3 linked regions of the Yarrowia lipolytica genome follow. The protein of the gene in region 2 interacts with the protein of the main gene of each other region in a pairwise test. Links are inferred from orthologs where the notes say so. Each region holds a gene or a part of one and is shown on either strand. Other genes may lie near its edges.

Region 1 (3,973 bases), on a different chromosome or scaffold from region 2:
GCCCATTGCTCTACTCACCTGACACCCATACGGGTGGCTCGAATGGCGGAGTACATCTTGTGTGTTGTGTGGTTGGTAAGAGTGTGAAGTCCGTCTTCTTAGAAGGGTCTTCTTTAGTTCTCCAAGGTTGGAAACTTTACCTTTGGCTTTTTTTGCGTTGGGTGCGAGATTATACAGGACCGCACACACTCACACACACACACGCCCTGGGGGAGCGACCGACCACCACCGACTGCACCCGTGGTTCCTCCCAACGCTTAAACTCCAAACCTTGTCTTGGTCCAATGTAGGAGGAGAAGCCGAGCATGTTGGTAACCCTAGTCCACTGAGGGGTAGAAAGGGAGTGTTGGAGTGGACGAACAACGCGTGGGAAATAACATAACAAAAGGCAAAGGACAGTCCGCCACAGGCCAGACCCATATATATATATATATACACAACCAGACACCACATGGCACCACATGGCACCACATATTCTGTGTCGCAATCGGTATCAAGCTGGAAATCATTTGTCTCCGTAAACCGCCGCTCAACACCACATTGTAGTCACTCCGTTGAGCTCTACACTGACCCAAGCACCGGTAGCTCCCTATGGTCGTTGCCGATTCTTGGCCGCCGTGCATTTCATCTTATGCAAAACCTCCCCCAACCGAGGCAGGTCCAAAGTTAGAGAGGGGGCGTGCCTGGTGGTGAGTGCAAGAGTCGGGAGTATGTCGGCTCCGTCATGGTTCTGGGGAGATCGGGGGGTTTATATATTCGTGGATTGAGCACAAACACGACACCGCCACGACACCACCAACACCGACACCACCACAATTGTAGTCATGATTACTTTCAGCTCTGGGCCATCAGTTGTGACAGGACGCGTACACTCACTGTACCTTCAAGTATGGGTGAAATCGGAGCTGCAAAAATGATAGGCTTGAAAAATGCTGAAAAAATGGCTAAAAACCAGCTAACAGCTAGCGGTCCGACCACACAAACAGACAGGGGATGGGATGCACTACTGTCCATATACAGCACAGCACAGCACAGCAAAATACAACGGAAAAACGTCGGTTCAACATTTCAACAATCAATTCTGTCCCAAATAAAGCTCCCATTATAGTTGTGCCGCCGGACCAACCATGTTGCATACCTGACAAGTGCAAGAGATGCCGAACATAACTCGAGGTGGGGTAAGGCCCGAGAGCAGAGATGTGATGTGACATACACATAAATGGGCCACATGCCGTCTTCCAGGCAAAATTCCAGCCGTATTTGTGTCTACAAGACCCTTTTAACGGACCCAGAAGTTGGGTTGACAAAAGCTAAAATTATTTAATTAGAGTTGTGGTATTTGCCACCTGAAATATACACTGAAAAATATCGAAACAGTCTTAAAATCTCACCACCACACGTCTTGTCGAGTCGTGTGAATATACAATGTCTTTTTCCGACATCTCAACGCATGTCATGTATGTACTGTACACGCTTGTTGGCGCTCATGCACGCCGACATCTCATGAACGATACTCTTGCAGGTATGTCGGTTTTTCCGAAAATGACTTAGCCACACGAAAGTTCGAATCCCACCGATGACATTGTTTATGGCGTTTTTTAGCGTCCATGTTTTGGGTTTCCCTTCTGTAACCAAAACATGGAAGCAGCGAAAAATCAGGAAAATTCGTATCAATTTTGATAAAATAGTTGTCATTTCGGAAAAAGCGCCAGAAATGGAAGAAAAAACCAAATATATAACACGCGTATTTCTTCTCCTTCAAACCGTCGTTTCACTTCGTGTCAGATACTCTCCACTTTCTCTTCATCCCACATAAACTCTAGATGCATATAAAAAATCCATCTTTGGCTTACATCACCTACCAACTGTTCATTTTCGTCACTTGCACACCTTCAGAACACTGTCCAGCCACCATGAAGTGCCCCAGATGTGGATCGACATCGATCAAGCGAGACGGAAACGACTCGTCCTGTGCCAACTGTGGTGTTGTCGTTGACGACGCGCCTATTGTGTCCGAGGTGACCTTCGGAGAGTCGTCTTCTGGAGCTGCCGTGGTGCACGGTTCGTTTGTGGGAGCCGACCAGTCCGGTATCCGAAACAACAACTTCCACGGCGAGTCACGCGAGCTGACTTTACAGAAGGGCAAGAACCGAATCACAGCGCTCGCACACGCCATGGATATCCCCCAACATATCATTGAAAAGGCCCATCGGTATTTTGTTCTAGCCGTCACCAAGAACTTTGTCAAGGGCCGACGGTCACAATACGTGGTTTCGGCGTGTCTGTACGTTGCCTGCAGACGAGAACTGCGACATGAAATGCTTATTGATTTCGCAGACAAGCTATTTTGCAACGTGTTTGCTATCGGAACCACTTACCTGCAACTGCTCAAGACATTGGACATCAAGAACCTGCCACTGATCGACCCGAGCATCTACATTCAGCGGTTTGCGTCCAAGCTCGACTTTGACAACGCAAAAAACGTGCGAAACGACGCGGTTCGACTTGTTCAGCGTATGGGACGTGACTATCTGGTTGAGGGTCGTCGTCCTGCCGGTATCGCCGCCGCCGCATTGCTGCTAGCAGCTCGAATGAACAACCAGCGTCGGTCCAAGACGCAGATTGCATTTTACGCCAAGGTCGCGGAAGAAACGCTTCAACGACGTCTGGACGAGTTCAGACACACCGAGGCTGGTCGCCAGACCATCTCAGTGTTCCGAATGACCAACATCGAGTCGCAGTCGGACCCGCCCTCGTACCAGAAGCATCGAAAGCGGGAGCAGGAAGGTATTGAGGAGAAGGTTCAGGACGAGATTGACGCGGAGATGGAGGAGATGATGGCGCAGATGGTGGAGAAGAACGAAAACCCGGAGGAGCGGGCCAAGGAGGCGCTATTTCTGGAAGACACTCCGCAGGAAAAGGCAGAGAGAACCGTTCAGAACAGAGCCCAGTATATCATTGAATACGAGCGAGAACGGCGTCGAATGCTCAACGAGGAGGCTAACAATGCCGCCACAGAGGCACTTCTGGCCATGAAAACACCCCATGAGCAGATGATGGAGGATCAGCAGACAGCCGAGAAGGAAGGAGGCGACGCCAGACCTCCAGTGGTCGAGTCGTTATCGGATCTCGACGACGATCCCGAAATCGACTCCATTCTGCTCAACGACGAGGAGCGTAACATCAAGGAGGCCGTCTGGACCACCGTCAACATGGAGTACCTGCAGGAACAGGAAACCAAGTTGTTGAAGATCGAGGCCGACAAGGCCGCTGGAGTGTATAAGGAGCCCAAGAAGCGAAAGCGACAGAAGCAAAAGGATGGCGAGAAGCCTGCTCCTCCCAAGGACGCGGCCGAGAGTACTAAACAGATGGTGCAGCAGCGAGCTCCTTCAAAGAAGATCAACTACGAAAAGTTCTCCGGACTGTGGAGCAAGCGAAAGAAGTTGACTTGATCAGAGGGAAAAAAAGTGAGACGAGAATTGCATATAGCTAACATTAAATTATTGTGTATTTGTACATATTGAGGGCACGGAGAGGTTTTATTGAGGGATTTGGAGTTGTGATATGAGAGGAGAGTTTCAACATGATGCACCAAGTGATCTGTCAATGGGTTAAACTATTTCGATCGATACAGCAACTTCGACTTATCCAGTCGATTCACTTGTCAGGCTAATGGGTTCTCTTGTAGGATCTTCCACAAAGGCATTGAGCATCGCAACCATTCGGAACACATAAAAAACTCTAGTAGAGTAATCTAAGACTGCGCCCAAACCTGTCTAATTCAATATACACCAATATCATTGTTTATACAAATATCGCCATATGGCATGCATCCCCTAGTTATCCTCTTCATGGTGCCTAGATCTTGGCGTGGTTCTCAAGAGGCAGGTTGTAGGGAGGAATGACCTCGATCCAGTATCCATCGGGATCCAGAATGAAGGCAATGTACTTCATTCCACCCTCGTCCAGCTGC
Region 2 (3,333 bases):
TCGATGTGTTTGCCAAGGCATGTGAGACTGCTCTGGAGACTCTTTCTAAGTACACCCAGGCCCGAGTCGGCGACCGAACCCTCATGGACGCACTTGTTCCCTTTGTAGAGACCCTCAGCAAGACCAAGGACTTCGCCAAGGCCGTAGAGGCTGCTCGGAAGGGCGCCGACGAGACTTCCAAGCTGCCTGCCAATTTTGGCCGTGCCTCGTATGTGAACGAGGAGGGATTGGAGAACATTCCTGACCCTGGAGCTCTTGGACTGGCCGTCATTTTCGAAGGTCTTCTCAAGGCCTGGGAGAAGAAGTAGTGTGTAACGGTGAAAGTATGTAGTAAAATGATTAATGACGATGCTGAAGTGAGGATAATGGAGGTAAACATCTGCCGACTGCTTGATCCAGGGTATATACCACTCGTACTTGTTCTAGGGAGAATACTCGATGATATTCTATCCTAAGTAAGTACCAGTCATCTTCACTATTCCGGATACCTGACTCGTTGCTGCAATTACTCTCACCTCACACCGCTTACTATTCTATGCTATAAATTAATACTACTTGTACTGTACTTTTGTTGCTGACCTCGTTTCCAGATCATCCTCCCTATTAATCCAACCACTCGTCAAAGTAGCTGCACTCCACATCCACCGGTCCTCCGGCGCTGCACACGTTGAAGACAGGACACTGGCCACAAACAGACTCGGTGTAAGCGTCTTTTGGCAGCTCCTCGTCGGGAAGATCGCCATTGAGAGTCGCCTTGTATCCTGCCTTGCATCTTTCCAGACGGTCATCGTAAACCAAGACCTCGCACAGTATTCGAATATGGCCCTCATCCAGCTCCACTCGTGACACCTCCTGGTCGACAATGAACTGCTTGATGTCTGTGACATGCACGGGTGGTGCGTTGGCCCCGAGCGCCAGGTTTGTGTTCTCCTCGCAGTAGTGGTAGACCACGTCGAGCAGCAGATCGACAAACTCGGAATCGAGCTCGGCATCGGAAAACCAGGGACCTCCTGTGAGCTCAGCCGAGGGTTGCAGGTTGTACAGCATGTACATTTTCCGCGTCTTCTGCTGTACGCTCTTGACCATCTTGATGATGTGCTGCTGCTCCAGCGACTTGAGACATCGGTGGACCACGTTGATGTGCAAGTTGGACCTGGCTGTGATGGTCCGCACCCAGATGCCGTCACGCTCCGACTCTGCAATGTAGTTGTACACAATGTACTCGTCAGACGTGAGCTTGGATACAATGTCAGCCGTCTCGATCGACACGGCCTGCAGCATCACCTGTCCTCCCTGCTCCAGCACCTTGACTCTGGACGAGTTGTGTAGCTCCGCGATCCACGCCTCCAGCTTCTCGCCTGCTACGTCCACGAGGTCGGCCACCTCCGCGTACGTGAAGAGCTTGGCCTTGGGCCCCTCCAGCATTTTGGCGTGCAAATCATCCGCGGACATTTTGAAAAGGTGCGGTTGTTGTGCAAGTCTGGAAAAAAAAAAGTTGGATGGCGAAATTATTTCGTCACACTTTTCTAGTGCGTCTGAGATGCGCGCATATGTGGGATGGAGGTGGTTGGTAGGGGGCCGAAAGACTGCTCTGGAGACTAGTGGGGTGGTTGGAGCGGATCGCAGAGGTGTATATATGCGAGTTTTCAAGTTTCAACGGAAAAAAACAGCCCTTTAGCTGGTATTGTGTGTTGTGTGACAATCTGGTAGAGTTGGTTGGATAATCTTCATTAACAAAAAGCCCAACTGAAAATGTATAAAGTAAGTATAGTCTAAGTAACTGAGAGCGAGAAGAGACGTGTGTTATTTCTAAGGCTTACAGCGAAGATACCGAGCCAATTTTTTTGTCAGCTTGTGAAGAATTATGATTAAATTATTTTTCAATCTTCCACTTCTCTCTCACTTGCTTCACACACCTCATTAACCACACCCCGTCTCCGCCCTATGTTCTCTTTAGGTTCGCACTACGAACATGCACCTTCTAGTATCACCACCATCACTCTCACCAACCAGCCATGGCACGAATCAAGCTTGATCTGAGCTCGGACGAGGAGCCCACGGTATCGTTCAAGCGCAAAACGGTCAAGAAGGCCGCCAAGCCCAAATCTGCGGAGAAAGAGTCAGATGAAGAGCCCAGTATGGTGTTCAAATCGAAGATCAAGGCCGTCAAGCTGGTCAAAAACGAACAGACCCGCTCCAACGAGTACCAGCAGGAGCTGGACGAGATGAAGAACAATTTTGGACACCTGCAAACGAAAGAGGAGATTGGTAGCTTCAAAACTGACACTACCGGAGAGATCAAGACAACCAAGAAGGTCACATTCGAGGGTGTACCAGACACCAAGGACGAGCCCTCCTCCTCCGCAGACTTTATCTCACTGTCGGGAATGGAACACAGCAACACAGACTTGCCTGCCACATCCAAAGAAGGCTACACGGCGTCTCTGGATGACGGGTACGACTCGGATCTGTCTATATCCGAGGGGAGAGATTTTCAGGACGATCTACTGGTGATTGGCGAGTCTGGGGTGTCGGACCAGGCCGATGCTAGAAGAGCCGATATGGCTGAAGCCATCTACGAGGCGCAGTTGACTGCAAGTGAAGATGACGAGGAGGACAGGAGAGGATGGGAGAAGTCGCAGTTCCGGTCGTCGGGTGTATTCAAGGATGACTCCACGTCGGAAACTAAGTACCGGGAGTCCACTGATCACGAGGCTCATAATCTGGCGCTGAAAAAGCTGCATTCGGTGCCGGAGATTCCGTCTCTGACAGATGTAGTGGAGTCCATCAAGCAGCGCAAGGTAGACATGGACGCGCGCAAATCTGATCTTGAGCTGACGCTAGAGCAGTACCAGCGCGAGATTTCGCTCATTGAGGAGCGTCAGAAGGAGGTGGCCGATCTGGTCAACAAGCAGCTGGCTCTTTAGGGGTGTTTGTGATGGTTTGAAGGACTACGACGATTGTCAATTGCATTCTAACGACTATGAATGCACGATACTAGGCAGTACCTACACAGCTACAGTAGTTGACAACATGTCACACTGCCATTACAACCACTCAACCAACACACACACAGTCTACAAGTACAAGTACCGTACAAGTAACTGTAGGCCGTATCTTCTCTTCAAAGTTTGAGGTTGACTCCGTCACGACCAGTTTGCCTTTAGACATTGACTTGAGTGTTTAACCATGGATCTCCAAATTACGCGATAGACGCGACGAGCCAGTGACAATGACAAACGAGCCGCTCTGGGTGGGAAAAGAGGTGCTTCTGAAAAACAACACGAGCGAGCGACAATGGGACGGAAGAAACAACACATTTGCATCCCCATT
Region 3 (3,965 bases), about 130 kb from region 2:
CTTCAGGTACATTTTGCATGCGCTCATCGCAAAAGCAAGACCACAACAATGACTAGATGGGCTAGAAATATTGTGGTAATTGTAAACATAGAAACACCAGAAACAACCCGGCAACCAGCCCAAGTCGTTGTATATCTCTGTCCATCACACGGTGCTCGTCCTCCACCCCGTAATGGAACCTATAGAAGCCAGTTATCAATCAGGCACACCGAGGCCTATGCACGATAGACTCAGGGGATATCGTTGGACACGATACGCAATCACCAATGTCGCTTCGGCAGCCAATTACGCCATTGACGGGGCGGGGAGCGAATTGCCGATGTCTTGGTCCAACACAGATGATTGGATAGTTTGACCCAGCCCCGACCGCGTATAGCTGATGGGAAGCGAATCACAGCGCACTCGCGGGAATACACAGCAGCGCCAATGCCATATCTACTCTCTCCACCGTACCTGGTATACATTTATTACTCATATGTTGAAAAATCAAACGTCATAGGCTCGAACATTGTTGAACTGTTAAACTGAGTGGTGTTCTCGGCCGAGTGCTGCTGTGTTAAATAAAAATGTGCTCTGGACTACTCCAGATCAAGTTCTCCGACAATCTCGTCGTACATGTCAGTGTCGGAAGAATACGTGAGATCATAATCTTCTTCGTCGTCACCGTTGATCACATCGGACCTCATAATCTTGGGCCCCAGCGTAGGCGACAGAGAATGCCTCCTTGCGTTGAGAGAAATACATGCGACTCGCTTCATTCTCTTATTGAAAAAGAACCAGCTTAATGCCCACAGGGCGCCAGGCTCGTCGGCGAGAATCGTGGCGTCGGGCGTGAAGGAAAAGATTGTGCAGTTGTGCATCTCGATGCTCTTGTCCAGTACGTCCCACATCCGGGGCGGGATCGGCATACCCAGGCCGAACAGCACGTTGTTGAAGGACGAAATCACGGCCGATGCGCTCGGCTCGCGCTGAAAGTCGTCCGGCTGTAGCACGGAAAAGTCGTGATTAGGGTCTGACGCATTGAGAATCGCAATCAGATAAGCAAACACCTTCCTACTGGCAGTTTCGCTCATATCTCCAAAGGGAGAGGAGAGTAGAGGCGATAGCGAGCCGACAGAGACGCCTGCTCTCGAGGAAGAATAGGTTCTTTGCTTGGGCACTTTGCTCACGCCCTTGGGGCTTCGATTGCTCATCTTGCTGACGCTGCTGTCCAACGATTTGCCGTATTGGTAGTAGTTGTCAAAGGTGAGCACTTGTGGGGGAGAGAAAGATGTGCCGAGGGTGGAGATGGAGGTGAATGAGTCGAGCGCGTCTTGATGGTACGACAGCTGCTTGTCGAGCACCTTGTACAGCTTCTTGTCCGAGGAAGCGGGTTTGGTGGTGTACAGGTCAATGTTGCCGGAAACGTGGCATTCGGGTGTGTCGAATTTGAGTGCTGATGCCACCTCGTCGAGTGTGTGATCTTGTATGAACTGGGTTAGTGTGAGTTGATGGGTTGTGAGATGGGGGAAGAGCAATCACGGCACAGATAGAGAGACTAAGATGCGCATCTGGGTTTGTGGTTGGGCTTGTGTCTGTGTCGCTTGTCGAGAGCACGGTATGTTTGCGTGTACCCTCTGCGTGTTTCTCTGTGTGTGTCGCTGTGTGCGCCTTTCTGTGTGCCTCTCTGTATGTCTCTGTGTGTCTATCCTCGTGTGTATCGACAACTCTGTCTGCTAAAATCGACTTGCACATCCTGAAACCTCTTCTTATCACCACACCACCCCGGTAACACGCGCTGAGTGATTTTCGTCGCGTGTTAGCCGGTGTCTGAGGGATAAACATTCAAGAAACACCCCTTCATCGCCAACCTCGACTGATTGAAGGGCAAAAATCAATCGCCACAAACCCCCCTCGGTATCCCATTTCGTCCCCAAGACGTCCGACCTCGCCAAACAGCTTATCGAACACAATCTCTGTACCGTCTCCAACCACTTACCTTCATTGTGATGTGTGTTGCCGGCGGCTTTGTGTAACTTGGGCGGGCCGTGTGAGTATTGCTGAGTGTCGTGGAGGGTCGAATCGACGGCGTTTGATCTGACTAGGGTCGTTTTGATGTTCCTTTTCCGGTTGTGGGACTGGCTGAGTTTGAGTCCAAATGTATGTCATGTCAGGACTGCGTGGTGGATGTATAGCGCCTACATGCATAGTCTGATCAGGTGGGGAAGGCGTGGATCTGGACGGGGGGAAGGAGGAGGGAGCACAGATAAGACCACCGGACGGCTTAGTAATACAACAACGGCCCCGAACCGCTCCCCTAGCCCATATCGCCGTCTACATGGTGCCCTAAACCTCCCCATACTCTGATAGACCCCCACAAACACGCCCCATAAACAAGGTCCCATCATTATACCCGCATCGCCCGTCTCACCGTGCCGCCAATCACATAAGCTTATACTGCCACAATGGGAACTCCCACTTCTAGAACGGGACGCAGCAGCAGAGAACGTGCAGTGTAGCGGTGGAGTTTGAGCGTCAGGAAGGCTGGTGATCTGGTGTCCTAATGAGTCACGCCGTATTTGGCAGAGATTTAGCTGTCTTAGACGGTCGTCGAGTACTCGTGCTCGTATTGTACTCGTACTTGTAGCTCCAGGTAACATCACTTGGATATTGCTGTCATTCTAAACTTGCTGTTTAATTAATTTATTTAGATTGGGAGAATAACAAATGGCAGTTATTTTATGTAAAAAAAGAAGATATTTATACAAGCGACGAGGATTTATACATGTAAAATTTGCGAGAAAACCACAATTTTTTGTGTTATCGGGAATTACTTTTGCAAGTTTTTCCCATTTTTTCCCATTTTTTTCCAACTTTTCCCATTTTCCCCAATTTTTCCCATTTTCCCCAATTTTTCCCATTTTCCCCATTTTCCCCATTTTCCCCATTTTCCCCATTTTCCCCTTTTCCCCATTTTCATGATAGCAAAAACATCACCTCACTTCACCTCTTACCTGCCACAGTGGACCCACTCGTCCAGTCCGAGATTTTCCGACCGACAATCCCGGCAACAACACCAACGAGATCTACCCGTACCCTGAACGGTTAGTAAGCACAATCTGAAACCAAACCCAACCTCCGTTACACCTCCAACCCCAACCCACAGAGATCCAGACAAGGCGCAGGCGCTCTTCCTTGCTATCGTGACGTCAGATTCACGTGATCCCGCTGCTTCCTTATAATGGGCCTCTACGACACTAAGCCGGGCGGTCGGTTGAAACTCAAGGGCGACAAGGGCAAAGTAACCAAGTCGAAAAAGAAAAAGATCTCCAAGACGTCTTCTCCAGCACCAGCACCATCCTCATCACCACCAACAATGTCACTGCCTTCAGCCAAGGATATCGCCAAGTCTCCTCACGATACAGAGCATGCCAAAGAGTCCATTTCGGAGACTCCTCCTTCTGTGGAGACCAAGGGCGCGATCCCTATTCCGGGATCGTCCTCCAAGCGAATGGACAAGGCCAAGATTGCCGCGAGCACCTCGCCAGTGGAGACCACCCGAACGCCTAAAGAGCCGTATCTGACTGACGCCCAGAAGAAGTTTGAGGAGGCCAAGAAAGAGAGAGTGAGTATGCAAGTGAGCGGACAGGGGGGATGTGGTGGCCGATCGAAGGTCGGCTTTCACCGCACATTATCTGCGTTTGTTCAGGCCTACAGTAGTAGAACAGCAGGGCCGCATTTCGATCTCGAACAAATAACACTATCATTTTGAGCGTTGACTGTCTGGATCAGGATTTTTCAGCGGCATCAAGTGGGGTCAATATCGTCTTATTTCTGCGTTGTTGAACCTCCTGTTGTGGCAATGTGTACTGTCAGAAGTCGATGTTGGTTGACAGACTACCGACAAGTGGTTTACAATGATCTTGGTCAGCTTTGAAGGTCAGCTTTAATGGGAAGACCAGCTTCTATTACTTGACTACCGACCT

What was found.
Region 1: the proteins of YALI1_F12946g (region 2) and YALI1_E28599g interact in a two-hybrid assay, tested with the Saccharomyces cerevisiae proteins (2 studies listed by BioGRID). The link is inferred for Yarrowia lipolytica from reciprocal best matches to the Saccharomyces cerevisiae genes RPC34 and BRF1.
Region 3: the proteins of YALI1_F12946g (region 2) and YALI1_F14213g interact in binary tests that used the Saccharomyces cerevisiae proteins (3 or more experiments, as listed by UniProt). The link is inferred for Yarrowia lipolytica from reciprocal best matches to the Saccharomyces cerevisiae genes RPC34 and MAF1.

What each region holds. Positions count from the first base shown.
Region 1 is NC_090774.1:2,858,111-2,862,083, forward strand, and holds YALI1_E28599g (uncharacterized protein), read left to right. Parts: upstream 1-1,823; coding exon 1,824-3,452; downstream 3,453-3,973. Other genes in the region: YALI1_E28575g (uncharacterized protein), read right to left, coding at 19-56; YALI1_E28631g (uncharacterized protein), read right to left, coding at 3,859-3,973. UniProt on the Saccharomyces cerevisiae protein: General activator of RNA polymerase III transcription. Interacts with TBP. Binds to Pol III subunit C34 and to the TAU135 component of TFIIIC.
Region 2 is NC_090775.1:1,293,176-1,296,508, forward strand, and holds YALI1_F12946g (uncharacterized protein), read right to left. Parts: upstream 1,453-3,333; coding exon 604-1,452; downstream 1-603. Other genes in the region: YALI1_F12917g (uncharacterized protein), read left to right, coding at 1-308; YALI1_F12951g (uncharacterized protein), read left to right, coding at 2,016-2,927. UniProt on the Saccharomyces cerevisiae protein: DNA-dependent RNA polymerase catalyzes the transcription of DNA into RNA using the four ribonucleoside triphosphates as substrates. Specific peripheric component of RNA polymerase III which synthesizes small RNAs, such as 5S rRNA and tRNAs.
Region 3 is NC_090775.1:1,419,382-1,423,346, reverse strand, and holds YALI1_F14213g (uncharacterized protein), read right to left. Parts: upstream 1,985-3,965; coding exon 1,979-1,984; intron 1,473-1,978; coding exon 579-1,472; downstream 1-578. Other genes in the region: YALI1_F14207g (uncharacterized protein), read right to left, coding at 2,178-2,639; YALI1_F14201g (uncharacterized protein), read left to right, coding at 3,221-3,751. UniProt on the Saccharomyces cerevisiae protein: Mediator of diverse signals that repress RNA polymerase III transcription. Inhibits the de novo assembly of TFIIIB onto DNA.